Drosophila melanogaster: one gene and its partners. The protein of the gene in region 1 interacts with the protein of each later gene in a pairwise test. Each region holds a gene or a part of one and is shown in the gene's direction. Other genes may lie near its edges.

Region 1 (8,164 bases):
GCACTTTTCGCAACAAAGGACGAAACACCCAAGTCCAGTGAAGCGGAATCTTTAATTATCAATGGAATCGATTCAGCCGCTGATCTGCTTCCCAAAAAGGCTTACATATCTTCCGAAATCAAGCATGTAAGTTTAAATTTATATATAAGCCATGATGAGTGAACGTAAACTAATACCTTCCATTGAACAGGTGGTTGATGAACGAACTCCTTTGCCCATGCCGAAGGTACCTCAAATTCAAAAATACCTCAACTCCGCCGTGGAGCCTACTGTTATGCGCCACGATGGCAAAATGAAAATGCCCGGCGAGGCAGTCCGCAATCCGTCGTCTTCGCATATCCCACGACGCGCCAATCACAGCCTGGCTGATCTGTCGCTCGCCTCAGGCGACGTGTCCTTATACACAATAAGAGATGCCCAAAAGTTTTAAGGCCCATAAAAGTACTTCACGCTCCTTGACTAAATATTGCAACGATAATAAATGTATTGTGTAACTAGTGCTAGTAAATGCCTTCGTTTTCGTTTGATAGTATCAATGCTTGCATCATCACTTAACTCGCGCCTGCGGTCCCTTCCACGCTCGATTAACCTTGGACTCTGAGGTTCTGCCCAGTTCGGTGCAGATGTACCGCCCCACTTGGATCAGTTTGTCTAGGTTGACGCCAGTATCGAGGCCCATGCCGTGCAGTAAGTAGACCACATCCTCGGTGGCTGCGTTGCCTGACGCCCCCTTGGCGTAAGGACATCCGCCCAAGCCAGAAACGGAAGAGTCCACCACCCGAATGCCATAGTCCAGTGAGACCAGTATGTTGCTCAGAGCCTGACCATAAGTGTCGTGGCAGTGCACGGCCAGATCTTTAGCCGGGACGACCTTGGTCACCTCATCCAGCATTCGGCGCATTGTGCCTGGAGTGCCCACACCAATGGTGTCGCCCAATGAGATCTCATAGCAGCCCATTTGGTACAGGGCTTCCACCACTTTGACGACAGCACTCGGCGCAACAGCACCCTCGTACGGGCAGCCAACCACGGTGGAAACGTAGCCCCGGACGCGCACACCATGCTTTTGGGCTGCTTTCAGCACAGGTTTAAATCGTTCGATGGCCTCAGCTGCCGTGCAATTAACGTTCTTCAGCGAAAACGCATCAGATGCGGCTCCAAAGACTGCCACCTCCTCGGCTCCCGCCTCCAGAGCACTCTCGAATCCCTTCAGATTAGGCGTGAGGACTGGATAGCTTATACCAGTCACTTTGCGGATTCCTTTCAGCACTTCGGCATTGTCGCCCATCTGTGGCACCCATTTGGCGCTCACAAAGCTGGTGGCTTCTATGGTTCGCAGTCCTGTTTCGGACAATTGGTTGATCAGCTCGATCTTGGTGGCTGCCGGCAGGAGTTTGGGCTCGTTTTGAAGACCATCCCGCGGTCCAACCTCCACAATTCGCACCTGATTGGCCGCGCTTGTAACCGCCGTGCGCTGTTAGTTTTAAAATTATTAAAATATTGTCAAGTGCGTTCGATTTTCCGTGAAATTACCTTTGCTGTAAGTGCAAGGATAGAGCGAATTGGTGCACTTATCATTGCTAAATTTGTAAATAAACGTTACGTATTCCGCTTCTTCTTTTTTCGCTGATAACAGCTGATAATGATCCAAGATCGATATGTTGCTAAATTTCGATAACTGTTTTGCTTAATGAGCTGCCATCTCTAGCGCAGAGGCGTAAACACATTTTTTGTATACAAACGGGTATTTGGTGCTAATTCTTTGTAATGGAAATAGCAGAGATATCTGCAGAAGATGAGGATGTGTTTCACTTTGAGACCGAGCACCTGGCCCTGCGTGGCAACCAGTGCTATACCAATTTGCTGCGCACTTTGGCCGTGCTGCAGGCACAAAGGATTCGGGTGCATCAGCAGATTGAGGAATTGGAAGCCACACAAAATATCTACTTGGAGAATCCGCAACATATGCTGGACAAACTGCGAAACAACGAGCCTTTGATAGCGGATAATTACATCACCACGACCGTTCTACCGGACTTGCCAACTCTGTCGCCCAATGACGAGGAAGGGGGCACAAATGAGACACCGACCGATGCGTCTTCATGGACGCAAGAGGCGAACAAGAATCGGGACAGGAGCAATGGACGGTCGGAGAATTTCAATCGCTTGTGGACCAACGAAGAGCAGAGTCGCTTGGAGCAGCTGCTCATCCAGTATCCGCCAGAGGAAGTGGAAATGCGCAGATTCGGGAAGATAGCGAAGGCCTTGGGCAACAGAACGGCACAGCAAGTGTATAGTCGTGTCCAGAAGTATTTCCAAAAGCTGCACGATGCCGGAATGCCTGTGCCCGGTCGCATACCCAAGCATCGACGTCCTGGTTTGAGTAAGCCGAAGATCAAACTTCGCAAGTCAACCTTCTTCCCCGCTCATAATATATCGCTACAAATGCCAGAGGACGATTTCACATTTGACGACCTGCGAATCCCATCGCCTGCGAGCGATATGCTCCTTATGCCGGCATCCAAGATCGAACCAAAGATCGAATCCGAGTACATGGATGCCGATCTGAATGCGGAGTCAAAGCGAAAACAGGAACTATGCCTTAAGCTTCTATCAGCCATTCAGGACGAGAAACGGGAAATGGAGGACGGATATGAGCCAGACTTGCTGGCCGCCAAGTGTGCCGAGTGCGAAGAGGCATCTGTGACCAGGACCCAATGGCGTTGTAACAGTTGTTATTGTTACCTTAATCTGTGCGGAGATTGCCTGGCCAGTCAGCTAATCGAAGGGCGTTTCGAGCATTTAAGTCATGAAGTTGTAGTGGACCAAGAGTCATGACGCTCCTAGAGTCCCATTTACTTGAGTACTAAATTACTAGACTTGCCTGTAAAGCTACAAATTAAATATAAAGAGAATAATTTTAAAAAATTCTATTTTATTTATAAAAACTTAATATTAAATGGTATAAAAGAGAGGCCCTCTTAATTGCGCAATTGGGCAGATGATTTCGGCAGAGATTGAATACGCTGGCGACGCTTTGCTTCGAACTCCGTAGCCAGCTGCCATGTTTCTTTGTCCAACGTATCCTTCCCCCGGGCGATGCCCAGCAGCCGTGAGAGGACCAGCAATCCATGCAGATCATCGGCATTACTTTTGACATTAGCTTTACGCATGTCCACGAAATCCTGCTGGATCATTTCAGTGTGCTCCTCGCTCACGTTGAAGCCGCTAGTGCGCGCTGTGGTCAAGTACTTGCGAAACTGCTGCAGACGTGATGGCTGCAGATAGTGGTGGGCTGCCTTTAGAGATTCATCAACAAGTTCCACGGCCTTAGAATCGGCATTAATGGGCAGCACAAAATCGCTCTGAAAACATATCATTAATAGTTTCTATTGGATATAATGATTATTTATATAAACTTATATTCTTACCGGCAACATACTTCGCCCTTCACTGAGCACGAGAACTGGAATATTTGCTTGGTAGTCTATTTGGTAATACTGAAAGTCGCACTTCAGTTCCTGATTATTGATCAAGTGCGCTAAATGCTGAACGGCATGAACACCATTGGCCTCCAGCTTGCCCTGTTGCATGCACGTCTCGTCGAGCACCAAATGCGTATGGGGAGCCAACTGTAGTACGCCGGAAACCAGCTTGTTTGTCTCATAATCCTTCCTGCAAGTACTCATTAATAGGTATTCAATTTTATACTATTTCTGCTTAGCCAACTTACTTTGGGGCAAAGGCTGCCGTGTTTAGTGTGACGAGAGTCATGGGCATGTAATGGCTGGCCGGCAGTAGCAGCTCCAGAATTTGATACAACTTGGTTGCATACGCCTCACAATTCTTAGGGAGATTACAAAGGTTAAGGGCGAACTTGCCGATGCTCTGCATCTCAGAACGACTGTAGACCGTAGATATTAGGTGGGAGAGCAAATACTCGGCAGCCAGATCGTCATCAAAGAGGCAGAGTTTAAGAAGCATGCGCAGATCTTTGTGCACAGCAAGGTGGGTTGGATACGTCTCCTCACATATTTCCGTTGGCTGTCGAAGGCTTTTGTCCAGCAGCGGATTGGCATGCGGCAGCACCTGGACTCCGAAGGCATGCAGGCGGGGTATAAGAAATGGCGATGGATGAGCTGCCTGCAGTTCACTCAAGTTTTCACAATCGTCTATTTCCAGGGTAGCGGCGTCTAGTGAAGCATCCACTGACAGAAAGCCCACAAAGTCGACCAGCGAGTTAAGCTGGTAGGTATCGAACTCCTCGTAAACCTTTACCATGCATGCCATGCTGGGACGATCCGGCAGAGGCGAGTTAATCAGGTAATCAGACCCAAGAACAGAGGATTTGGAGGCGCCGACTGGCTCGCTATCTTTTTGAATCTCTTTTAGGCAGGGTCGCTTGAACGTTGTTTCGCTCGCAACGTCCACATCCATGGCTTCTTCTTCGCCTACAATAGTCCGCTTCTTGGCTGAACTGGGAGATTGACCCAGACTGGCCAAATCGATCTGGGGACAGCACAGCTTCTCATGCTCCTTGCTCCAATCGTTCAGACCAGGCACAGAGACCACGAACATGGTACGCCTCTCTCCATGCACGTTTCCATCGGCGTTGTAGTCAATCACTTCGCCATTGGCTATTTTCAAGCAGTCCCTGTACTTTCCTTCCTGTACACGTTTGCTGCCGTCGGCGGATTTCACTTCGTAGCGCTCCAGATAGATTTCTGGGTCCATCATGTCCTGGATCATTCCACGAAAGCGCACCAGAGTCTGATCCTTCAGCTTGTGAAGAGGCGTGTAGTTGAGCAGGGGAATCGAGTGCCAACGACTGGGATCCTTGAGCAAGTCCTTGAGTGCAGCGCTGTCCGCTTGCTGGGCGGCCAGTTCATCGGGCGTGCTGGGCAGCTCCATCGCACAGGGCATTATCTAGTTAACGAATGAATTTGCAAATGCCTCAAAAACCTCGAATGCAAAAAACAACAGCTGCTTTGGCGCGCCAAAAACTGATTGCAGCATATTAGTGATGGTCATCGATGGGCCTATCGATATCTGCCAGGGATGTCGAACTCTGCCGCAGAACGGATGTAGAGGCGGATGTGGACATCCGCAAAAAATGTACAATTTGAGAATTACCAAAGAATTGCAGCGATGAGCAAGAAGAAAAGCAATGTGTGGCAGTACTTCTACAAGACATCCGGCACAGTGGCCACCTGTCTGCTGTGCAACAGGAACTACTCGAGGCGAGGACGCGGCACAACATGTCTGCGGAATCATCTGAAGAGCAAGCACCCACCGGAGTTCCTATCTCTATCCGGGGACATAAAGTACCTGGACCTGGTTAAGAGCGAGATCTCCATCGGTTCGCCACAGCACCCCACAGCCCAGCTAGAATTGAATCTGCACGTAAGTGGGATAGCATATAGATGTGCATACATACCTATGTACATGCATATGTACTGTGCAAGAAGTGTACCTTATGTGAAATCGGGGTACATGCCCTTCTAGATATTCTGTCATGTGGAGATGGTTTCCCCAAACTTAAGTTTCCATTCAAATATAGTTTCTTTGGTAGTTCATAAAGTAATTTATGCCTTCTCTTATTTAAAACTTTTTACTAATATAGCAACAGCGGATGCGGATTTTTATCCGCGTTTGGCTAGATCGGCAAACATGTGTTGTGTTTATAAAGTGTAGTTAAGGAGGTTTTAAAAATGTACTGTTATGGTCTTAGTATTATATTTTTATAAATTATGCGTTTTTCACTAATCTGATGCATTAAATTATTCTATTAATCATTTTAGGAAACAGATTCAGATCCATTGGACACCGAGGATATATCCTACAGCAAACGCTGTGATGAGAAGTTGGCCCTCATGCTACTAAATCACTCCTTTGAGTTCATTGAAGGACCAGGATTCGTAAATTTCATTAGGACGCTGCAGCCGCGGTACACGATTCAACCAAGGAGCTACTATGAGAAGATACTGTGCGAGGATATACAAAGGAAAATGCATCAGCATTTGAAGCAACAGGTGGATCTGCTGGATGCCATATCGTTGTCTACGAGTCTCTGGCGTGGTGACAAAGGCGAAGGACTGCTGAGCTTGTCCTGCTCCGGAATATCAAGGGATTTTCAGACTCACCGCCTAATGCTGAAATGCGAGGCTCTGAATTACGAAAGCACTTCGAAGCTAGCTTGTTGCATTCGAGATCTTGTGCCCAGCTTGGCCATTGAGGTGCCCAAAGAGAAGATACACTGCGTAATCAGGGACGAGATGACGGCGCTGCCAGGTTCCCTGCCCGATTGCAGTGTGCACCGCCTGCAGATGTGCGTTCGATTTGCTTTGCAATCGAACGAATTACTGCAGAACCTTTCATCCAAGTGCAAGCAAATAGTTGACCATTTTGCGTCGTCTAAGATGGCCAACGATCATCTGAAATTCATTCAAGAGATCCGCTTGACGCGAGACCCGTGCACACTTACACCTTACGATCCCTGTCAATGGAATTCCGCTTTTCAGATGATGAGCAGCGTGTTTCGAATGAAAGATGCTCTATCCTTGTACTGCGAAGAGTATAGTCTGGTCCAAATATATCCAGATGAATGGATAGAGATCGATTTGTGCAGCAAAGTAATGCAGCCTTGTGAAGAAACAATCAAGATATGGAGCAATCCATCTACGACCACCTCATCCGTAATCCCGCTGGTTGCCGCTTTACGGGATTCCCTCCGAACAGATGTCCATAACTTTGTCTCATCTGTGGTAAGTTGCAGTAGATAAAACCATAAAGTATTGTCTAATATTTCGAATGTCTAGACTATATGCAGTTTCGCCAGAAAGTTGCTTGAAGAACTGGAAATGAAGTTCGCCCACATCACTAGCGACATCAACTTTTTGATGGCCACATATTTGGATCCGAGATATAAGCAAGCATTTTTCACCGAACGTGAGGAGCAGTTGGTGGCCAATGAAGTTCTGCTTCAGCTCGCTGGAGTGCCAGAGGATTGCAATGGTCAGCCACCGCTGAAAATAATCAAAGTGTCATCCACATCGTCCCAGAAGAATGAATCAAAGATCGATAGCATTCTGGATAGCATACTGACAACTGGAACGACGAACACTCAACAGCCAAATACGTCAATGGGCTCCCAGTCTCAGATTAAGAATCTGCTATATCTATACAACTCCGAACCCAGAATCGATAGGAACATGGATCCCCTGATTTGGTGGAGGAGCAACATAAAATACATATCCTTGTATGGCATTGTTAGGAAATTCTTATCAGCACCAGCAGCAAGTGTGGTTAGTGAAGGCTTATTTAGAAAATCAACGCACTTGTATTTCGACATGCAGGCGGGCTTGAGCCCCGAAAGTGCATCCAAAATGTTGCTCATGAAGGCCAACTTTAGCTTTAGCAATTCGGAAATCAATTAGGATACAGTAATTTATATAATTTAAACGTATTTATGTACATAATATTAGCTTTAATCTTACAACTACTTGATTTTCCGGAAAATTAGATTTTGCACTTAAGCCGCGTGTATGGCTGATTGCCTGATGGGTCCTAGCCCCTGTAATCAGGATCATTGTGTTCCTCTTCGTCTTCCTCCTCCTCCTCTTCTTCATCTAAATTAAAAACATGTTTTTCATAATGTTGATTCTAAATAAAATGAAAGCTATGAAATTCTTACCATGATCTCGACGTTTACGTGTGTAGGCTCGTTTGCTGGCGACGGGCGCTTGATCAGTTTCGCCATGTAGCAAGGAATTGCGATATAATATCAGCGGCTGCCATTCCTCAGCTCGGCTGGATGGCATTGCGGGTGGTATTATCTTGTCCAGAAAGCTCATTATGACCTTCTTGTCTTGCTTCAGTAGCTTGTAGTTGAACTCGTTCAAAACCTCCAGGAAGAGCAAGCGAGTTGGAGCCCGCACCGGATCATCTGGCTCCTTGTTCGCAGCGAAATAAATGCCACCACGATGAATGGCGGCCACAGATTCGCGATTCTTGATGGCATCGAAACCAAATGTGAGCGCAAATCGCTTGGCCAACTCCTTGAGGTCCACAAACTCTTGCGAACTCTTTGAAACTATGCCATCCTCACTCTGCTCCTGCAGACTCTTAAAGACTGTGATCAGGCTCAAAAGGAGCGTCATAGCGA
Region 2 (8,124 bases), on another chromosome or scaffold:
TTGTGTCTGTGGCATGCACCCCTCTACCTGATCCCCGACTGCTCAATCGTGGCCGTCAGCCCCATGTGCCCCATCTGCCCCATTCTGGGGCATGGCATCCAGAGCCCCCTCCTCGATTCGTTTCCCAATCAGACAGCCAGCGGCATCGTTAGCAACGCAACGCAACGCAACGAAACGCGACTCTCGGAGCTCGCCTGCATTTCCAAGTTCCAAGTTTCGTTGCAACCCCGATGGTCAGCAGCTCGGACTTCCACGTCCACTCCTGCCGCCAATCCACCGACTCTAAAACCCTCACACCCCAAACCTTGCATGGTGACTCCCTTTTTAAGCCCTTTTTCATTGCCCATACGCCCTCAAGGGGGTTTTATTGCGCTAGGCATTTTTGCATATTTGAGGCATCATCGCTCATCGCTTTTGTGTGTAAGCCAACTTTCAGACATGGTCGAAGGTAAAACCAGCGGCAGGAGCAGGAAAGCAGCGAAGCAGCAGCTGAGGACGAAGAATCAGCAAAGGGCTAACCCTTGTGCCACCCATTTTCTGCATTCTCTAAGCTGCAACGTCGCCGTTGTCGCTGTTCCTGTTGCTGTTGCACTCTTCTATTTGGCGTTTTAATATGCAACATTTTTTCCCGCTGATCTCCCCGCCGGCGATGCCCCATCCCCATACTCTTTCCCCTCCCCAGTACCCATTTTACCCCTTATGTGTACGTTTGGTCACCTCCATGGTCGCAGCATTTCTCACTGAGAACAAAAAGCAGCGAGATCTCGTACCACATCACTTCTTTGGCTACATTAAAAATGTCGAATTTATTGTACTATTAAAAGGGCCTTCCTTTTTTGAAATAATTTCATAAATGCTCACTCTTTTCTTAACAATTAATACTAAGACTTTAAATTGCATTACCGCGCAGCTGAGATCAACTAAGTCAGTTACTGCATTGTAAGCTTATACATTTTGACAACCAGAAGCCTAGGTTTTCTGCCAGTGCATTCACACTCATGGCAACCGTTTTATTTGTTTGTTTGCTTGTTCGTTCACTCATGTGTGTGGGTCAGACGGCGACCTCTCACCCCCTCCGCAACTTTGTCTGTTTGGCTCAAATGTTGTCATCTTTCCCCGCACACACACTCCACCCCACAGAGCCACCGGCCCACCCATTTTTGGCCTTTCGCAGAGGCTTTCGTCGCTTTTTTGGACATCAGCATCCAGTGGATTCCATCCCACGAACCGGCGTCCACATCTCCACAGCTCCGATGTCCTTTCACGTCCGCGTCATCGTTTTGCTCGTCAGCGTCGTCGTCACCAGTTAAATACATAAATTTTCGTATAAACGCGTTCTGCAGTCGCGAGCCTAGCAGCCATTTCCCAATTTTCCATTTCCCAGCGCCCGCCCCCTTCCCTCTTTTCCACTTTATAGCGGGCAACACAACAGCAAACAACTTAGAGAATGCGTGATGCATTTTCGTGTTGCTGCGTTTGATCCAAATTCTGTTGGCTGCAATTCATTGGTTGCTATAAACACAGTGTTATCTAATTGCATATGGTTTTTAGGGGGAAAATAAGCAGAACTATCTGCAAAGGGTCCTAAGTGGTGCAAGCATTACCACATATAGTATATATAATATATATAGTATAATAGAAAAACAATCAGTTTTATTATTAATTTATCCAATACATAAAAACCATATTCAGTTACCTGAATTCATTCAAAATACTCAAAAGCCTAAAAAGCCCGAATAACTTATGAATTAATAGCACACACACTCATTAAATAGTAGAGATACAAAGTCCAAAACTATTTCAAGGGCTGGCCATTAGAGTAGGCAAAAGTATCACTTAGCGTCATTAAATCACCGGATACGAGTGAATGAAGGCATTAAAAGACTCATTCAGAGATGCCAGATGAATACTGAATATAATCCGATCGATGGATACCTGCCGATCGCGTATTTGTGCCCCTTTATCGCGATTCGCGATTCGATTCATGGCCGATGTTTATTATAATGTAACCAAAATGAAAAGCAGCCGCCATTTGCCAGTCACGAAAAAATTATGCATAATTTATGACTGGCTGTAGTGGACCCCTCTCGCCACCTCTCGCTCACTCACCTTGATATGTAGCTTCGTCCCGCTCGCACTTGCAAGAATTTATTATTTTTGCTAGATTTGTGTTTTTTTTTTATTTTATGTTTCGCATATTATAAATGCGCAAGGCAATAACAAAAATAATCATAAACACATACACGGAATCACCCACACAGAGGCAAAAAACCGAGGCTGACCAGTCTGAAACGATAGTGCCCCGCCCTCCGCCCCTTCGGCCACTCGGCACCCCCCCAAATGCCCATCACCACTACTCATGAAGAGAGCGAGAAAAACTAGTGGAAAACTGCAGGTGCAGCTGAAAGAAAGAGAAACGTCTCTTAGGCGAAAAGCGCCAGCCAACTCTCTCGCGAAAGAGAGAGAGCCAATTCGCCGCACATCTTGATTTCGCCTAAGCATTTGTTTACAATGCACGACTGGCAGCGACGTCGACTGCGAAGAGAGTTTTTCGTGATGGTTTTTCGAAGGGGGGGCTGTGTGGGGTACACCTCGAACGGAACTAATTAATGAAGCATCTTTCAGCCGAGTTTTGTTTCTCAGTCGGATGAGGTGGAATGCGTGAGGGAGAAAGAGTAATGGCTTGGGAAGAATAGAAAGAGAGAGGAATGTGCTTCGAAAGACCTAATGATCACTAATCTGCACTTCTCGCAAAATGCTCATACTACAAATGTTACAAGCAATTCATACATATGAATATCGATTTCCAATATTCTAAAAATAATTAAAATATTTTATTTAATAATTTTCAATTTTTTCAATTTTTTCACTTAAATTTAAGCTTTTAAAAGAACCCTAATAAGATATATAATATCCATCACCTAAATAATCGGCAAACTCAGCACTATTTTCGCCGCATTCCCAATTCCTGAAGACCACCTAGATGTGTTCCTCTATTTTGTGCCAGGGGTACTGGTCGATGGGGCTCGTCCACACCCTCTCCTGCCAAGCACCTCCGAAAAATATTAGGCCTAAGCTCGAATCCGCACTCGCACTCGCACTCACAATCGCAATCGCAATCGCAATCGCCGTCGCTCTCCGCTGCATTTTCGGGGCAACTTCCGTTTCCTCACGCACGCACACTTGCCACTTGCCACTTGCAGCGACGCATCCTTTTTACGCAACGGTAGTTGTGCGGCGGCAAAGCGCCAAAATTTTGGGGGTTGCAACGGCGAGAGGCCGAGAACGAGGACGAGGACGAGTTCGAGTGCGTCGAGCAGGCCGACGAAGGACGAAGGACGAAGGACGAGCGAAGCCGATTCCGATGTTGAGCTCGAGGAGAGCCAAAACGCAGCGCAGGAGCAAAGGAATGCGGTGCCGTTAGCCGGCGTTTTTTGGCGCCTACAGCTCGCCGTTTTCAGCCATTTTCAACGGGCTCGCCGCTGCTTCGGTCGTTGTCTCTGCCGTCGGTTCTCAGCCAAGCGGCGCTGCCTACGTCGCATTTTCCTTTCGCAGCGCCGGCAGAGCAGTTCGCGAACTATTCGCAACTTCGTCGCGAACTCAGTCGCAGCCTGAGAGCAACAACTACAAAGCAGTAGCAGTAGCAGTTGCTGCTGATGTTGCTGTTGCTGCCGCTTCTGCTGTTGCCGTTGCCGTTGCTGCAACATCAACGTTGCCCCTCAGCTTTCCACAGGCACAGGCACAGGCACTGCCACAGCCACAGCCACAGCCGCACATCCACATCCACATCCACGTCGTCGTGGGCCATCGTCGTCGTCGTGTGTTAAGTTTGTTTTGAGTTTTTCCGTATCAAAATGTGCAAAACGATTTCAGTCTAATTCAGACGCTCGTGCTGAGAAGACTTTTGGCCCTGTTTGTTGGCCAATACAGCCATAGAACACTGAAACCGAAACAGAAACAGAAACGGAACTGAAAGCACACACTGAATAACACTGGACACGACGACGAGAACCGAATCGAACTGAAAGAACGAGGCGGCGGGCTAATTGCCAAATGGCCACGTAGTGCGCGTAACGTAACGAATACGTTAAACACCCATACACACACGCCCAGACACACACACACACACACACACACACAGAGAGACAGAGGCACGCACACAGATACGCACATGTACATGCCCACTCTCAGTTGAGCGTCGTAATTGTCGCGGATTCTTTTGAATGCTTATTCCTTAAACGCTATGTGAAGAGCGAATCGCGTAACGAATAACGATCGCGTAACGTTTACGATCGCCGGTGATCCAACGATCAACGATCAACGATCAGCTGCAGACAAAATGGCGTCGGCGCAGGCGGAGACGAATGTCGGCTTGGCGTCCGAACAGGGACCAGTGGCTCAGAGGCAGCGCAAAGGGACGGGATCGGGCGCCGATTCGCCCAAGAGTAACAGAAGCTCGCCCACTCAGCAGGAGGAGAAGCGTATCAAAAGCGAGGATCGCACTTCACCAACTGGCGGGGCCAAGGACGAGGACAAGGAGAGTCAAGGTCATGCTGTAGCCGGAGGGGGAGGATCTTCGCCCGTCAGTTCGCCACAGGGCAGGAGTTCTTCGGTAGCCTCGCCCAGTTCCAGCTCCCAGCAATTCTGCCTGCGCTGGAACAACTATCAGACGAACCTGACCACCATCTTTGACCAGCTGCTCCAGAACGAGTGCTTCGTGGACGTGACCTTGGCATGCGATGGTCGGTCCATGAAGGCCCACAAGATGGTCCTGTCCGCCTGCTCGCCCTACTTCCAAACACTTCTGGCCGAAACGCCCTGCCAGCATCCCATTGTGATCATGCGGGACGTAAATTGGTCGGATCTCAAGGCCATTGTGGAGTTCATGTATCGCGGCGAGATCAACGTGAGCCAGGACCAGATAGGTCCTCTGCTCAGGATAGCTGAGATGTTGAAAGTGCGTGGTCTGGCGGATGTGACCCATATGGAGGCGGCCACGGCAGCAGCGGCTGCCGCTTCGTCGGAGAGAATGCCCTCCTCGCCCAAGGAGAGCACTTCAACTTCCAGAACTGAACACGACAGGGAACGGGAGGCCGAGGAGCTGCTGGCCTTCATGCAGCCCGAGAAGAAGCTACGCACTTCGGACTGGGATCCCGCTGAGCTGAGGCTCTCCCCACTGGAGCGGCAGCAGGGCAGGAATGTAAGAAAGCGCCGGTGGCCATCGGCGGACACAATATTCAATCCACCCGCACCACCCAGTCCACTGAGCAGCCTGATTGCGGCCGAAAGGATGGAGCTGGAGCAAAAGGAAAGAGAGAGACAGAGGGACTGTTCGCTGATGACACCCCCACCCAAACCACCAATGAGCAGTGGCTCCACAGTGGGAGCCACGAGGCGCCTGGAGACCGCCATCCACGCCCTGGACATGCCATCGCCGGCTGCCACGCCAGGACCTCTGTCCCGATCGTCGAGACCTCACTCGCAGAGCCCCCAGCAGCAGCAGGCACAGCAGCAGGGTCAGCTTCCTTTGCCCCTGCCCCTGCATCCGCACCATCACGCATCACCCGCCCCACATCCCTCCCAGACCGCCGGATCAGCCCACCACCCGGCATCGCCTGCTGGAGATTCCCGTTTTCCCCTCGGCCCAGCAGCCGCCATGGCCGCTGCCAGGGAACTGAGTGGCCTGGGACCAGGTCCGTCCGCCGAGCCACGCCTTCCGCCTCCACCGCCGCACCACCATGGCGGTGGTGGAGTGGGCGGCGGGGGAGTTGGAGGAGGAGGTGCAGGCGGAGTGGGTTCAGGCGGGGGATCCTCGCTCGCCGATGACTTGGAGATCAAGCCAGGGATCGCCGAGATGATCCGAGAGGAAGAAAGGGTGAGTGAATCTAAGCAACTTAAATTTCACGTTTATCTTTGTATTTCATCTTCCTTAAAGATAACTTTCGTACTTTTGTTTTCAATTATTCATATGTTGTGAATCGTTTTCTAAGTTAGTACATATGCCAGTTAAGAGAAGACTCTTCAATTCTGCAATTCCAATTCTACAAAAAGAGAGGCAGAGAGAGAGAGAGAGAGAAGCGCGCGGTGGAGCTCTCTTCTGCTGCTGCAGCGCTGTCACTGCGCTGTCGCAGCGCTGCTTCCGTCTATATCTCTCTCCCATTCATTATCCGATCTTTTGCCTCGGTTTGTTTTGATTCACGATTCGCGCGCCTTTCGGCGATCTTCAATCTTCGGCTGCGAATTCTGCCGGCGGCATTTCGCCTCGTGTCGTGACGTCACAGCGCGGAATGCGGAGCTACGGTCGCAGCGCTCTGTGGAACTCCCCACCCCACCGCCAGAGTGGCCATTGCCCGGAATGATTGACAGCATTCACGTGCTCCACGTTCCACGTTCCATTGTTTGCTCTCCTCGGCCGCTCTTTCTTCCCGCAGAGATTTGCTCCACATAGTATTTAGTACCCCTTCTCAGGTCAGATCCACCGATTCTTGGGTTCTCGGGGAGCAGGCACCGGAACGCTTCGGTGACCAAGAGGTGATTGAAATTCCTGTGGCCTGCGGTTGATTTCGATCTATGGAGCATTTTGTGACTTGTTGTGGTTCCCTAAGTGTGCTTCAATTAGGGCAACGACGGAATGGGTCTGCACAGAAAATATCTGGGGCTAAAATCGATAGATTCATTATTTGGATTTTTTATGTATTTTTCTCTTTCTGAGATTGAATCATTATGATTGCATAAAAATATATTTTAAATTTTGAAATGCTGATATTGAAAATTAAAAAAAAAATATTAAATATTGATCTTAAGATGCGCTTGCAATATACATATGAAGATATCTATAGTCCTAATGCGGCTTTGCTTCATAATTATATTTCAATAAGTTCACTCCAAACATTGTATCTGAATATTTACGACTATTAAAGTAAGCTGGTAGTTTTTGTCAGCTTAGCTTAGCGACCGGTTCGATTTGGACTGCGACTGCATTAGCACCGAGCTCACCGCAGAATTCGCACTTTAATAAAAATTTGTATTTATTTATCCAATAGACGTCGACGACGTTCACTCAAGAGCCCAGATCTCTGGCGATGGAGCTCCATTCACCATTCAGAGTCACATGCATTCGATGAGGAGTTGCCCGGTCCGGGATCAATCGGAATGCGATATTTGTTTGTCTGGGCGCAGAAGAGATCCCAGTGCGACTCCTTTTCTGGCCGGTTCTTGGCCATGTTCCATGTTCCGTGTTCCGTGTTTATTGTCGCTTTCGAGTGCATTAATCAAATAGCCAGCTATGCACACATGTGCATGTGCATTAGCCTGCTCATGTGCTCAATTTTTGAAGCCGTCTGTCTGTCGGTCTGTCGGTCTGTTTGCCTCTGATCGCCGCGGCGTTGGCTCGTTAGCGTCTCTTTTCAATAAATATTTTGTTTTTATGCTTTTTTAAATATTTTCCCAACTGACCGTTTGCTTTGCTTTTTATGTGCTTAGAAATTCTTTGGAAAATGCATCTGCATCTGCATCTGCATCTGAATCTGAATCCGCCGCGGCATCTGTATCTGCATCTTTGTTTGTTTGCCTGGGTATTAGTGTTGCCGGCCGTGTTTATGCTTTCCCGCTGTTTGCCTTTTCGATTGTTCTCCTCATTTCCCCATCACCGTCATATATTTCCCAACGTTTATTCACACATTTCATTTATTATTAAAAACTGATGCATTTTTCGTTGCTTCGCGGCAATCGCAGCAAGGCAACGCCACAGATACACCCGAAAAAAATGTGCAAACCTTTGTAATTTCGATATATACAAAATATGAGTATGAAATTCTGCCTAGCCAATGAGCATTATGTTTTGAAATTATAACTCCATTGTTTAGCACACATGAAAATATATCCACGTTCATTTCGATACAGGTATTCACTTTTCCACGTGTAAAAGTCAAATATTGATGGGCTGCATCCTCGGCCAGCGATTCACCAGCTTCTTTAATATTTATAATTCCTTCCATTTATATTTATATGTTTGTGTGGATGCACCTCGACTTACTCCACCTCCTCCGCTCCCCGCCATAAGCAGATAAAGCCGATAAGTGTCAGTCGTCGTGGTCCAGGGGTCTCAGTTCTGAATGTCTGGGC
Region 3 (7,940 bases), on another chromosome or scaffold:
TTCAAGCACAAGCATTTCAATATTCATTCAACTTGTCTTGTTAAACTTTATCCTGCTTACATGGTTGTCTTGTGGAGTTAACGCTTTTACTGCTGCGAAAAGTATTGATTCTATATCACCAGCAAACTGATCAATGTCTTGCTCGGTTGCCAGGGGTTAAAAAAGCCGGTATGGGAACAACATATTTTTTGTACCTCGCCCAGTTGGTCCTATTGCTTGTAAGCCTACACGGTCGCTCCAAAGACACTAGAATAACAAGATGCGTAACGCCATACGATTTTTTGGCACACAATTTTTTGGCCGTGGCTCTAGAGGTGGCTCCAGGCTCTCTCGAATTTTTGTTAGAGAGCGAGAGAGCGAAGAGCGCTACAGCGAACCGCTCTTTTCTACGCATACAGTGATAGCAGACAACTTTATGTGTGCACACGTATGCTCATGCATTGTAAATTTGACAAAATATGCCCTTCACCTCAGAAGTTCTTAGACTTTAAATCTATATTATTTTTGATCAATTGGCACCATGCGAAAAATTCTTGTTTTGCATTGCCTTAACGTTATTATTATTTCAAAATAGATTAGAAATAGCCAAATCTATGTACATATTATCACAAAAATAAATTTTTATTTTTATTTTTAGAGTATTCATCTTGCGGCGTGTGAAAAATTAATAAGGCAATGATTGTTGAGTGCTTGTGTCCGCACTTCGTGCCTCAAGATATGAACAAAGCAAAGACACTAGAATAATTCTAGTTTCTTTGATATTACTTTTGCAATAAACAGTTATCATATTTAATTATTTAGTATATTTATTAAATCATTTGACTTAATATGATGTAACATTAACATTAAAAGTGTTTCAAAAAAAATATTTCGCTTTTAAAAAATTGTCAGATGAGAGACAAATTAGAATTAAACATAAATATAAATGTGTAAACGGTAGCTAATTCGAGCGGCGATTTTAACAAACAAATTTAAAAAGCTTTAAAATTATAATAGTCAGGGCGCGAATTTTTAAAAATTTTTTTATTTTATCATATTGCTAGGAAATTGGCAAAAACTACCCTAATATGTACCATGTAAATTCGTTTCTTCGATCAGAATTGATTTCGGCCCGAAAATCGTCTTCTAGCACAACACGCACACTTATACGCGTTCTCGTCTCTTGTTTTTACTCACACAAGCAAGCAAATTATATTTTTAGATTTCTTACGCTCTAAGCGGGAGTGAGCGGAAAGAGAGTAATTTTGGCCGTCACCAAAAAAGTGGCTGCATAGTGCCAAACCAATGTATGGCCGTTACGCATCTTGTTATTCTAGTGTCTTTGCTTTCTACCTCTTATAGTACATACATGCCTATGAATCTAGTATACCATTGCACTATGGGTAAAAAACCGGAAATTTTTGTATTAATGTAATATTTTTGTGATTGATATTTTAATGCTCCTTTCATTTTTTGATTTCTAAGTAACAAGATAGCATAAAAAAAATGTTTTAAACCTTTTTACGAGTTATCGTTTATTTTTGGCGCACTTTCAAAGTCAGCTGATTCAGAGGTGCTTTGAATTGCGAAAATGGTCGGAAAAAGTTGAACAAATGTGCAGCGTAAACATTGTCTTCATAGCAAATTTGGAGTTTATTTTTAATAATGGAAAAATGGAGCAACAACAAACGCGATGCAGACGCTATTAACAGTTATATTGTGGAAAATATACAAGAGAACTTTGAGACTAAAGAGCAAAAGATTACCAAATAAGCAGGCTGCAGAATAAGGGCATTCAACTCCACTTCTCGTACATGCTGCTTCATTTTCCGGAAAACAACGAAGCAGGCAGAAACGGCCTTTATATTGAAAAAAAGGGAATTGAAAACATACATAATATAAAAAAGAAAATTGAGACAAATCATTCTATTAAAATAAGTGCTGAAAACGCTTTAGCTTTCCCAATTGAACATGGATTTACAAAGTAGCAATATAATAATATAAAACCGCTCAATAAGCATAAAGGATGCGATATTTTCCATCCTTATTCAAAAGTAGCAGAAGCAAGGATGGATAACAAATATAAAAAAATTTTGACTTTTATTTCATAAAATTGGTTTTTGTATCTTGTGTCTTCACTTCGCTCCCACGCCAATCCTTCGCCCACCATCCATCTCCCTTGAAACCCGCTTTCATATGTATATAAATACATTTTTCACTTTATATTCAAGGATTTTTTTGGTGGGCGGAGATGAAGGCGTGGTCAGATCAAAAAATAAACAAAATCCGAAATTCTATTTAAATCTTAATTATAAACATAAAAAAAATCAAGTCGCTATCTTTATAATTGTAATTAATACCAAAATTCCCGGCTTTTTACCCATAGTGCATTGTACTCTACAACTAGTGGATATAAAGCTAAGAAGGTAAAATCCGTCCTCAGTAGATGGTGATTAATAGTTTTTTGTGATAGTTTTGAAACTACTTTTTTATATCGATATTTCTTAGGAAGTCTCAACCGCTCCGACGGATGTGAAAAGTACACTTACTATATAAGCCTAAAATGTGAAATTACTATTATAGTATATATTGATAATTAATATTTTAATGTGCCAAAACGTCGTGTATTTGCTGACGTTTGCTGTGGTAATCAATTCTGGTTCAGTAAACATATTCAATTCGAATTCTATGGCCGATTAGCTATGGACATCAATGAATATAATTTATACAGTAAGTTTCCTTCTCGTCAGTGACAAGCAAAGCAAGTTGAAAAAGTCTTGCCCTAATATCTATTATCAAATTCATCATATGTATGAATATGTGTAAAATGTGAAATGAGTGGCTGGCACCCTAATTTTTTCTGCTTTAGAATCAGCGAAATGGAATAAAAAATAAAATGTATATTAATGTATGTATTAAAAGAAATCGATTGAACAAAGGTTAAGAGAAAAACATAAAAGGGAAGTACGACATACGATATTTGAATAATAAACAACAATATATAAAATTAAAAGATTTCTTAATAATTAAAAATTCGCGTCCTTATCATTACTGTCTATCAATAAATCTTATAATTTGCTGACGCATTGCCATACGTAAAGTGATAGCTTATTTCGTGCAGTTTAAACAGGACAACCTTACAAAAACTTTGTCCCTTTCTTTGATAAGTTGATAATACCATATGTATCTTGCAACAGTGTAATTTTTTTCGATTCCTGCGTAAGTTACTCTTGTATTCTCAAATTTTTGCTATCGGAATGTTTAGTAAACAGTTAACAGCTGTTTAAGCTGTTTTTCAGACAATAGAGCGGCCCATTCGACAGTTTTAATTATTCACTGCAATTAAGTTATTAAATTAAATAGGATTTTTTTCGAACAACACTTTTAGTCATCCTTTTTAATTTATTAATGAATTATTTTATATTTTATAAGTATTTTTATTGCCTGTTTCGTTTCACCAACAGCCTTTGCGATAAATTTTGTCGACGTATGTATAATAAACAATTATAATAATACAACGTCGCCGCAGGAGTTTTGAAAGTATTTCATATTTTTTTAGTCTTGTAAGTTTACAATGGTTTGATATTTTAAATTTTTTCATTTAATTTTTTCCTGACAAAGTTAGCTAATTACAATAACAATGATATAAATAACAATTAAATAAAAATGATATAAGTAACATTTAACTACATAACAATTATGAGATCATCATCTCCTGGCTCTCGTCAAGGGTGACCTGTGGAGCCTTCTGGGTGGGCGACCTTTGTTTAGTGCCTTGGCTAGGATATTTCTATACCGCTCTAACGTGTCGTGGTACCGGCTAGAGTGCATGTTTATTGTCTCGAAGACAGTGGCTAGTTTGAGCTCTTTGTTGTTGTGTTCCTTACGAACCAATCGCAGCCGGTAATCATCCTGGCGATTCTGCTTTGGGGAGCCTGAATACGACGGATTTGGCTGTCGCAGGCCAAGCCCCAGATTTGATAGCTGTACCTCCATATTGGAGCTATAATTTGCTTGTAAATTATCACCTTGTTGGATAGTGACAATTTACTTCGCGAATTTATAAGCCAAAAATGGTGCACGCATACGCATGCTTCGAGAAGGTGAGTCTCCTATCCAGGATTTTTTTTTTAAAATTAATTTATTTATCAAGGCATACGGGGAAATCTTGGAGCCCCTTTGTGTCCTTCTTTTCTATTAATTCAGCCCATTTGGGCGCGTCGGCTAACTATAGTTAGCTTTTTCAAGTCTACAGTAATTTTACTACAATTACATAACAATCACATATAACAAATAGGATTTAAGATAAGCGTCAGCTTCTGCTGACCCTTGTCAAAGGAGATCGGGAAATGAGATCCTCGGTTACCTTCTATTGAGCTTCCTTGGTGGGCGAGGTCTGCTTAGAGCGCTAGCCAGCCGATTTCTGTGGCGCCCCAAGCTGTCATGGTATCTACTCGAGTGCTGCTTTATCTCGTCAAATACCGTTGCGACTTTCAGATCTCTGTGCAGGGTGTTGTTTCGCACAAACCACTCGCAGCCGGTGATGAGTCTTGCGACCTTATTTTGGATAGCCTGGATCCTTTTGATTTGGCTGTCGCATACCAAGCCCCAGATTTGCCACCAATACTTCCAGTTTGGTGCTAAGATCTGTTTGTAAATTGTCAGCTTGTTGGATAGCGACAATTTACTGCGCGAACAAAGTAGCCAATAGTGCTTCGCCACCTTAGCACGTAGGCGCGTTCCGATGCCGGTCACATGCTTGGCATATGTGAGTCTGCAATCCAGAAGCACTCCAAGGTACTTTGCTGCGTTCGGCTGTGGTACGGGGGCTTCCTCGATGTAGACGGGCGGTGGCGTTCTCCGTTAAAGTATAGCAGACGTTGTTGGATTTACTGCTATTGATGCCAATGTTCCAACGTCTTGCCCATTCCGAGAACCGGTCTGCAAAGTCCTGGATACCATCGGCTGCGTCGTGCTCGCATCGGGACCTGTAGGTGACGCACACGTCATCACGCCAACATTGATTTTCCGTAAAGGCTTACATCCGGCTGCGGCATGTCGTGGCTATACAGGCAGTAGAGCAGGGGGCCGAGGACACTACCTTGTGGAACACCAGCTGCCACTTTGTGCTCGGTGGAAATTGCTTAATGAAAGCGCACAGCGAACCTCCTTCCTTCCAGGTACGACTTTAGCAATCCCAAATATGGAGCAGGCAGCGTCTGCTTGATTTTTAGTTGAAGTCCAATATGCCACACTCGATCAAACGCTTCTCGAATGAAGAGGCTGTTACAATATTCCTTACTGTCGTAGGCAGTCAGAATTTTCTCGACGACCCGAGGGAGCTGCTCGACAGTACAGTGGCCAGCACGAAAACCGAACTGGTGCTCAGGGGTAATCCCCCGGGCTTCCATAATCCTTACAATCCGGACAGCAATCAGTCTCTCAAACACCTTAGAAATTGAAGGGAGGAGACTGATCAGCCGGTAGGAGGCGGGCTCCCTTTCCGGCTTGCCAGGCTTGTGGCTTGTGAGCACACATTCGCTGATTTGTCACCATTGATACCATGTTCCAGCGCCTTGCCCATTTCGCAAATGTTGATGCAAAGTCCTGGATGCCATCAGGAGCATCTTGTTCGAAGCAGGACCTGTAGGTGACACACACGTCATCTGCAAATGTTTCCATCATTGACGTCCCGGGTAGGCTGGCGTCTGACAGCGGCATGTCATAGCTGTACAAACAGTAAAGCAGAGTCCCAAGTACATTTTCCTGTTGTACTCCGGCTGCCACATCATGCTTATTTGAGAGAGACGAATGAAATCGAACTGCAAACCTTCTCTTTTCGAGTTTTATTTCTCCTGGCCGATTTCTACCGATATACAAAAAACAATTTGCCCATGCCTCAACACTGTCATGCCCACAGTTTTTTACTATTTGTTATTTTGTAATTTAGTTGAGTAACGGGTACATGATAGTCGGGATACCCGACTATAGCATTTTCTTATATTCCTGTAATATTTTTAAGATTAATAATATTTTATTCTTTAAGACAAATGACGCCATGTTTATTTTCAGACGATTTATCGCTGTTGGGAGAAGTGACTGAAAATAACTACGACAATAATATTGTACACGACATTCTGAACTCATCAGCATTCTACAATGATACATCGTTAGATCTAAGTGAATTAATACCTGATCTTCAAAAAGAAGCCTTTGGATTGCATTTCTCGTCAAACCCAATAACTTCAGAATTTAGCTTGAGTTCCCCGATTTCTGGTTTGAAACAAATTCCTTCAGCGTGTTCTGGTGAATTTAAAAGAAATGTAAATGACAATAATTTTCAATTGGATCTTACCAACAGTAGAAATGATTTACCTGAGCCTAATTCGTCTCCCACAAGAAGCTTAAATCGTTCAAATGTAAATGGATGTTCTAACGAAGAGGCGGTCTATCCACTCTTAGTCGATTCAGATAAGTTTGATCCATTTTTTGAACCTGCTAAAGTTCGGAGCCCCAACAAAGAATTCAACAGCACGATTTCTAATCTATCAGATATAAAAAACGAACTTCCGGAAACTTCCCAAGACTTGGGTTTTAATTCATATAACACTTCAAGGAATAATTCAACTTTAACCAAAAGCTGGCCAATAAATACTGAGCTGAATCTAGATAATCAAGTTCCAAAAACAGTTTTACCTTTGTCAAGGACAATTTATTTACCTTCACATGATTACAAAGGGCTTTTGCCAACAGTGAAATGTAACGGTGATAGAACCTTAAAGAAAAATGTTAATGTCAGGTCTAAGATTTCTAATATCGTTATTAAGAAAAAAAATGCAACTTTTATACAATCATTGAAAGAAAGCACTCCATCACATACAATGGATGATAAGATCTACAAAAAATATCAACGTATGATTAAGAACCGAGAGTCTGCTTCCTTATCACGCAAAAAAAGAAAGGAGTATGTTGTTTCATTAGAGACTCGAATAAATAAACTTGAAAAAGAATGCGATTCCCTAAAAGCTGTAAGTACTCTCTTTCAGTTTAAATAATAAACTTACCTATTTTTACTTGTCATTCGAAAGCAAATTTGGTAATTTAATCTCATTCCTTCTTAACATAATAAGTAGGTTACTTATTCTTAATTAGCCTTCCAATTTTCATATGATCTCAACATGTCTGAGAAAACGCACCAGTAAGTAAGGTATATTATATGTATTACTTTATTCCGGGATAAGCCACAAACAGCCGATTTTCGCTAACCTCAATACGAAATGGTTATTTATTTAAAAATTATGTAACACACTAAGAAGGAATGGACAACCCTATTGTTGCAATACGTCAAAAAAAAACACTATCGTAAAGTTTGACATGTTTTAGGTAATACGTACTCAGAACTTTTTGTTATACGAGCGTTATTTGTGTTGTTTACAGTTAGTTCAGAAATTCCTCTCACCCCAAAACGTGGATAAATTCACCAACAGCTCAGATCAATGGTTAATTGCTCAATAGAAGGCTCGTGTCGGTTGGTCGCAAAAAATAAGCGAAATACGCAATAAATGCGATCGCGGTGCTTCGAGTCACGTCTATGAGATCGTGACAGGATTTGGATCTATATTTGGATTTGATGTGGATTTACAGTAACTTCTGAGTGGTACACAATCATTTGTTGTCAGTTATCTTTCAAAAAATTAGAAAAAACAACAGCTGAAGACCGATCACTATTTATCAAGACAATGCGAGCTCTCGCACATCGGCTTAAACATCTGCACCTGCAAACAGCGACGGCATTCGCCGTGTAGTCCTGACTTGTCGACTTCTTTTTATTCCCGTTCGGCAAAAAAAAAAATGAGAGGTCAACGTTTTTCGACAATTTTTATACCCGTTACTCGTACAGTTAAAGGAGTATACTAGATTCGTTGAAAAGTATGTATGTAACAGGTAGAAAGAAGCTTTTC
Region 4 (6,264 bases), on another chromosome or scaffold:
ACAGAGTGCACCTTCTTCACGCGCTCCAGATAGTCCTGCGGAAACTTGTGGCTTTTGGCCGGATGATTCACGAAGAAGGTGTCGTGGGCATCGCGAGCTGGATGCTGTTGCGGCTGATAGAGCGCATCGAAGTTCCAGAATGACGATTCCACATAGTTGTTCGTAGGCATCTCTGAGAAGCCCATCTCGAGGAATATCTGCCGGAACTCAGTGCGCACTTTGAGCAAGGGATGGAGATGTCCACGCGTTGGTGGTGCACCCAACGCATCAAAGTTATAGGCCTTGAACTTGAGCTGGTCCCACAATCCATTTGCGAGCATTTCCACCGTGAGATCCGTCTCCAACTTGGTGAGAGTGGTGGCAAATTCAGGGCCGCGTGCCAGCACGAAGCTCTTGGTGGTCGTTTCCTGGAGGAGCTTGCGTTTCTTGAAGTCGGCCACCTCCTTGGCAGGCAGCTGGTCACCCTTTCCCAGCGCCACCTGCTGCAGTTGATTGCGCACCACATCCGTAATGGTGTCCACCTTGCGGCGCACCAGCGGCGGCGTGACGCTCTTGTCCACCAAAATCCAGCCGTGCGACATGGCTTTGCTAAAGCCCACTTTGGCATTTGCGCCACCGGCTGCCATTAGAGCCGCCTGGGCGATTCCCTCCGGCGGAACTAGGTCGTAGACCAGTGCCTCATGACTGCCATTCTCCACGACGGCGCGACCCTCGTCTGTGAGGCCCAAACTCTTGTGGGTGACCGTTTCCGCGGTGACTAGTTCGCCATGCGCCTGTATGCTCTTCAATGAGCCCACAATCTTCTGGTGATCCTCGGCAAAGAGTGCGGCCAGGTCCAGTGTGTCCGCCTTGTCGGTGGTCTCCAAATGCTGGAGAATGCGCTCCGTGAGATCGGGATGCATAGCTGGCGGTTCAATGGTTGTATCTTTCAAGGAAATTCGGAATTTCAATACCGGAATCTCGTGTTGCCACAACGCAGCCTATCGGAGCTATCGTTCTTCGATAACTGCGTCTATCGTTCGAAACGACGACGGTGGCTAAAAAATAGCCAATAAGCTTAAAATAGCTATAATTATATCTAGATATTGGAAATTTGTATAAATATTTCAGCGAATAGTAAGATATGATACTTTTGTCACTAACATTTCAAAAGTAAATGAAATAATAATAAAGATGTCTCATATAAAGAACTGGTTTCAACTCGGTTTATTTTTCCGCTTACCATCACAGTGGCACCTCCAATAAAAACAGCTGTTGACGCCAAGACTAAAAGTTTGCGTTCCAATTAGAACGGCGAATATATTCGAAAAAAGGAGCAAATCCTGGGGAGCAACGGCCAGGTGGGAGCCGCAATCATGCTCAAGTCCCTCAAGCCGGACACGTACGCCGGAATGGCGAACGCCAAGTGCGGCGAGATCTACTTCCAGAGCCTGCACAGCTTCCGCATCGACTGTGCGTTCTGCGAGATGAAGAGCTTTGTGTTCGGAGACTTCCTGCTCCACGTCCAGAACATTCACTTCGAGAACGGCCTGCTGAAGACGGAGGCAACGGACGCCGGTGCGAATCTCAAGCAGGAGCGGGATCGTGAGCGGGAGCCTAACTCGCCGGTGCCCATTGTGGCGCAGGTGAATCCATTTGCCTGGTACGAGATTGGTGGCGATCACAACGAGGACAGCGACGATGAGCGCGTTGTCCTGGAAAAGCAGGATGAGGACGAAGATGAGCGGCCAGGCAGAAGCATAATCAAGTGGCAGGACCATCAGTCGCTGACCAGCGAATCTCTACGTCAAGTCCGAGCCCTCAAGGTGGACTACAAGGAGGAAGACTCCGAGCAGGAGGAGTGCGGCATGGAGCTGGATCTGGACAGCGAAGGCAGGCACTCTGCCAAGATTCCGCACTCGTGTCCGCACTGCACAAAAGTTTACCAGAGCCGCAAGGTCCTCGAACGCCACATAATGCGCCAGCACAAAGACACTCTCTCGCCGGATGTGGACAGCGAGGACGCGGACTACGAGCCGCCCAAGGATGCGCCCGTCAAGTCCGCTGCCCAGGAGTACAAGTGCGAGCACTGCGGCAAGATCTACCATGGCAAATACAGTCTGCGTCAGCATTTAAAGCGGGATCATGACAACGGCGAGGAAGGAGGCTCCGCCATCTTCACCTGCCTGGAATGCGAGGCCCAATTGCCGCGCCTGCGCCTGCTGGACGAGCACATGGTGCAGGCGCATGGCGGCGCTGCCTGTGTGGTTTGCGGGCGGCGCTACAAGACGCGACACGAACTGAAACGCCACCAGCTCAAGCACACCAGCGAACGGAACGTGCCCTGCCCGCATCCCGGCTGCGGCAAGCGCTTCTTCACCATCCGTCATATGCGCAATCACGGCAAGGTGCACACGGAGCAAAAGAACTTCGTCTGCGAGAGCTGCGGCTACAGCTGCCGGAACAAGGAGACGCTGCGCGTCCACATCAGGAGCCACACGGGCGAACGGCCGTTCGGGTGTCAAGTGTGCGACAAAAGATTCCCCTCCCATTCCGGCCTGCGAGAGCACATGGCCATGCATTCCACGGAGCGACCGCATGTGTGCAGCGTTTGCGGTGCGACCTTCTCCCGACAGAAAGGCCTCTACCACCACAAGTTCCTGCACGCGGACACCAAGCAGTTCGTGTGCAAGCTGTGCGGGAATGCCTATGCCCAGGCCGCCGGTCTCGCTGGACATATGCGCAAGCACCGGAACGACGAGCTCAACGGATAGGATCCGGATCACCGAGGTCGTAGTCTAAGTTGTACGTTTTGTATCTTCCAATTCCGACGTTTAAGTTCAGGAACTCAGGCATAGGCTATATATAGGATTACCATAGAAATCAATGGTTTTTTGCATTGCTCCGGCATGGAGCGGGTATCATGTGACTCTTCGGTCCTCGTTTCACGGGTTTCCATCGAATTTATTTGACACGCACTGTAAATAATATCCCTAGTTTTAGATAAACTGAAAGTTTGTTAATCTGTTTCGAGTGAACTTAGTTTGAGGCAAATTTAATTGGCTCGATTGTAAGTACTAAGACTAAACTACATTTCCATGAATTTTCTAAACTACCAACTCAAATAATAACTAAACTTTGTTAAGGTTTAAACTATACATTAAGCACACAATGCTTCCAAGAACCAAATCGAACGCCGTAATCTCGGCAACCGGATGTGGCTAGTATTCGAATGGTTAACTTTTTTGTATTGATAAATATACATAACATGAATTTGATTCGCAAAAGAGAGCCCGCGTTTAAAATTAGCCAAGCGATTTGGTACCTTTGACAGCAATTAATCGGTCGACTGCTGCTAAAGCGGCCAAATGCCAAGATGGTATTGGATGGGGTGCGTCTAACAATAGTGCCGACGATTAGATTTGGCACACGCGGACCGACCATGTCGGCGGAACGTCCAGCTGCCAGCTCCGATAATCGGCGACTTATGTGCGAGTTCTGCGGCTATCGGACGCGCATCTATTGGAATCTGCAGATCCATCGTCGGCGACACACCGGCGAAATGCCCTTCAGTTGCCAGCAATGCCAGGCGCGTTTCCCGGCCAGCTATCAGCTGAAAAGCCACTTGGAGCGGCACTTGGACGCCGGCGAGCGACGCCAGCGGCACATTTGCACCGACTGCAACGTGGGTTTCTCCAGTTCGCGGGCCCTGTACCATCACCGGACGCTCCACGAGGATGGGAAGCGCTTCAAGTGCTCCCAGTGCGACAAGTCGTTCGCTCAGGCGGCGGGCTACGCCCAACACAAGCGGATTCACCGCCAGAGGAACCAGCGAGCCACCGAAACCACGGATCTGAAGGATCTGCAGATCAAAAGAGTGGTTTCAAGTGTTTTTCATCGGCGCGAGTTTAACACTGCATAAAATTCAGTGGAGTAATTAACATTTTATTTTTGTGTCATATTCAAATTTAAAAAAACCGGGTAACCGATTCGTTATTTCAACTGAAGTGCCTTATAAATAAAACAGGCAGTATCACTTTCTAAGAGTCTGGTAACAAATTGGTAACACTTGAGAGGAGCATATTGCTTAGCTATTTAATATACATAGATCAAATATAATTAATTTTGAACTTAAAATTTATTTTGTAGTTTATTCGGTCAAACGGTTAGTTTGGTTTGAAACATAGCTGAATGGCTGTGAAATCAGTGCTGGTTTGAGTCTGCACTAAATGTCTATCGAAGTCGATCGAAATTTTGTTTACATATTTTATTTTAATTTTGGTAAATAATATTGCAACAATTTTAATGTAAATAAGAATCAGAAAATGTTGAGACACTGCCTCGCCAACGTCGACTACGTCCGCCTGCACGCCCAGCAGCAGTTGCGTCCCAAATGCGGCGAGATCTTCTACGAACCGGAGGCGAATAGATTCCAACTGGTCTGCCTGCTCTGCGACATGAAGCACTTTGGATTCGAGGACTTCGCCCGCCATATCCGTAATGTGCACTTCGACAAGCAGGGCCGACCGCTCACCAAGACGGTCACGGGACTGGGCAGACTAGCACGAGAGGAACAGGAGTTCCAAGGGGTCAGCGCAGAACCATTGGCTGTGGACAGCTTCAAGAAAGAGTACCTGCCCAACGAGGATGTTCTGTCGGAGGAGGAGGACGCGGAACAGGAGCTGGGACTGGAACAGGACGAGGGCAATCCACTACGCATCATGGTGCTCGGGGGTAAACAGTCCGTGGACGAGGAGACCATCGATACGATGTGGCAGCCGGATCATGACAGTTCCTCCGCATCCGTCAACGAGGGGTGCGCTCTGGAGGCTCTGTTGGGCGTGGAAAATCCGCAAGACTATCAACCGGATGAGGACGGGGAGGAGCACCAGTCTGTTTTTAAGGTAGAAAAACTGTAGTACGTGCACTTGAAGAAGGAAATCCAATATCTGAATATGTTTTTTCCCTGCAGAAGCAGCGCCAACCAAAGGACTACAACTGCCCACACTGCGACAGGAGGTACACGACGCAGAAATACCTAAACACCCACCTAAAGATGAGCCATCCGTTTCCGCAGGCCTTCAAGTGCGTCGACTGCAAAGCCACCTTCGATGTGGACCGAGCATTGGCCCAGCATCGTCGCAAGGAGCACACGGAGTTCGCCTGCCAGCTATGCGACAAGGTGTTCAAAAGCTCGCGATCCCTTCTTCGCCATGTGCAGGGTCACTCCGGCGCCAGGACATTCAAGTGTGAGCACGAGAACTGCGGCAAGTCGTTTGTCAACCAGCACAACCTCACCTCGCATCGGCGGGTCCACAGCGAGGAGCGGAACTACGTGTGCGAGCTGTGCGGCTATAGATCCCGCTACCGGGAGGCGTTGATCGTCCACCGGCGCACGCATACGGGCGAGAAACCCTTCCAGTGCCAGACCTGTGCCCGCCGCTTTGCCTCCAAGTCGCTGCTCAACGAGCACCAGGCCATGCATTCCACCGAGAAGCCCTACAAGTGCGACAAATGTGATTCGGCCTTCTCCCGCCCGAAGGCGCTCTATCACCACAAGCATCTGCATTTGGGCATCAAGAAGTTCAAGTGCAAGATCTGCGGTAATGCCTATGCCCAGGCGGCAGGTCTATCCGCTCATATGCGAGCGCACAAGCTCCAGGCGTCCGTAAATGCGACGGAGGGTGCCGAGGCGGAACCCATCGAGATGCTTTTCACCTACTGACCGAACTGAGTGGAAACCTCCTGTCGCCTTAAGCTCTATTTCCATATAACTCAAGATATTCAAGATACACCACAAACAATGTTCACTGTTCTAGATTTTATAGATAGCTTATCAATGTTTATGGACACCCGACTCTTTCGTTCCAACTTTTCACATATATATATATATCTGTAAATAGTATTAGACATTTTCCAATCTAAGGCCGCAAATGTTCTTTTTTAATTTAAGTGATGAAGCCTTCCATTTCTGTGTCTCAAAAATTAGTACCTACATATCAGTAGAAGTCGTGTGTAAGCTGTTATATCTGTTAGTTTAGCTAGTTTTAAGCCAAGACCTTGCTTCCGACTAGGACAAACCACGTATGTACAATAAATGTTCTGATACACGTTACTCCAACATGGACTTTCAAATGGGCGCACAAAGAAGCCAGTTTGTCTATAGCTCAACATTTATTTCGAACAGGAACTTATAACTAGTCGCATATTGGTTACACTTGGATGCATATACATGTATATATTTAGATTCAATTTGGTACAGCAGCTGGTAGTAAGCATAACACT

The links.
Region 2: the proteins of CG13775 (region 1) and bab1 interact in a two-hybrid assay, tested with the Drosophila melanogaster proteins (one large-scale study listed by BioGRID).
Region 3: the proteins of CG13775 (region 1) and Atf6 interact in a two-hybrid assay, tested with the Drosophila melanogaster proteins (one large-scale study listed by BioGRID).
Region 4: the proteins of CG13775 (region 1) and CG15336 interact in a two-hybrid assay, tested with the Drosophila melanogaster proteins (one large-scale study listed by BioGRID).

Annotation. Positions count from the first base shown.
Region 1 is NT_033779.5:6,953,857-6,962,020, reverse strand, and holds CG13775 (uncharacterized protein), read left to right. Parts: upstream 1-5,070; 5' UTR 5,071-5,148; coding exon 5,149-5,403; intron 5,404-5,677; exon of another isoform or gene 5,678-5,713; intron 5,714-5,801; coding exon 5,802-6,764; intron 6,765-6,818; coding exon 6,819-7,436; 3' UTR 7,437-7,566; coding exon of another isoform or gene 7,567-7,628; 3' UTR 7,629-7,664; downstream 7,665-8,164. Other genes in the region: sip2 (septin interacting protein 2), read left to right, coding at 1-126, 191-430; Hmgcl (3-Hydroxymethyl-3-methylglutaryl-CoA lyase), read right to left, coding at 548-1,474, 1,534-1,578; Atac1 (Ada2a-containing complex component 1), read left to right, coding at 1,768-2,838; CG3430 (uncharacterized protein), read right to left, coding at 2,982-3,365, 3,432-3,675, 3,734-4,923; SA1 (stromalin 1), read right to left, coding at 7,567-7,628, 7,694-8,164.
Region 2 is NT_037436.4:1,096,852-1,104,975, reverse strand, and holds the start of bab1 (bric a brac 1), read left to right. Parts: upstream 1-3,886; 5' UTR 3,887-4,339; coding exon 4,340-5,875; intron 5,876-8,124. UniProt on the Drosophila melanogaster protein: Probably acts as a transcriptional regulator. Required for the specification of the tarsal segment. Also involved in antenna development.
Region 3 is NT_033778.4:5,142,150-5,150,089, forward strand, and holds the start of Atf6 (Atf6), read left to right. Parts: upstream 1-2,583; 5' UTR 2,584-2,681; coding exon 2,682-2,709; intron 2,710-5,016; exon of another isoform or gene 5,017-6,029; coding exon of another isoform or gene 6,030-6,051; coding exon 6,052-7,007; intron 7,008-7,940.
Region 4 is NC_004354.4:8,144,594-8,150,857, forward strand, and holds CG15336 (uncharacterized protein), read left to right. Parts: upstream 1-3,355; 5' UTR 3,356-3,421; coding exon 3,422-3,901; 3' UTR 3,902-4,112; downstream 4,113-6,264. Other genes in the region: alpha-PheRS (Phenylalanyl-tRNA synthetase, alpha-subunit), read right to left, coding at 1-902; CG2129 (uncharacterized protein), read left to right, coding at 1,356-2,753; CG10959 (uncharacterized protein), read left to right, coding at 4,305-4,883, 4,952-5,704.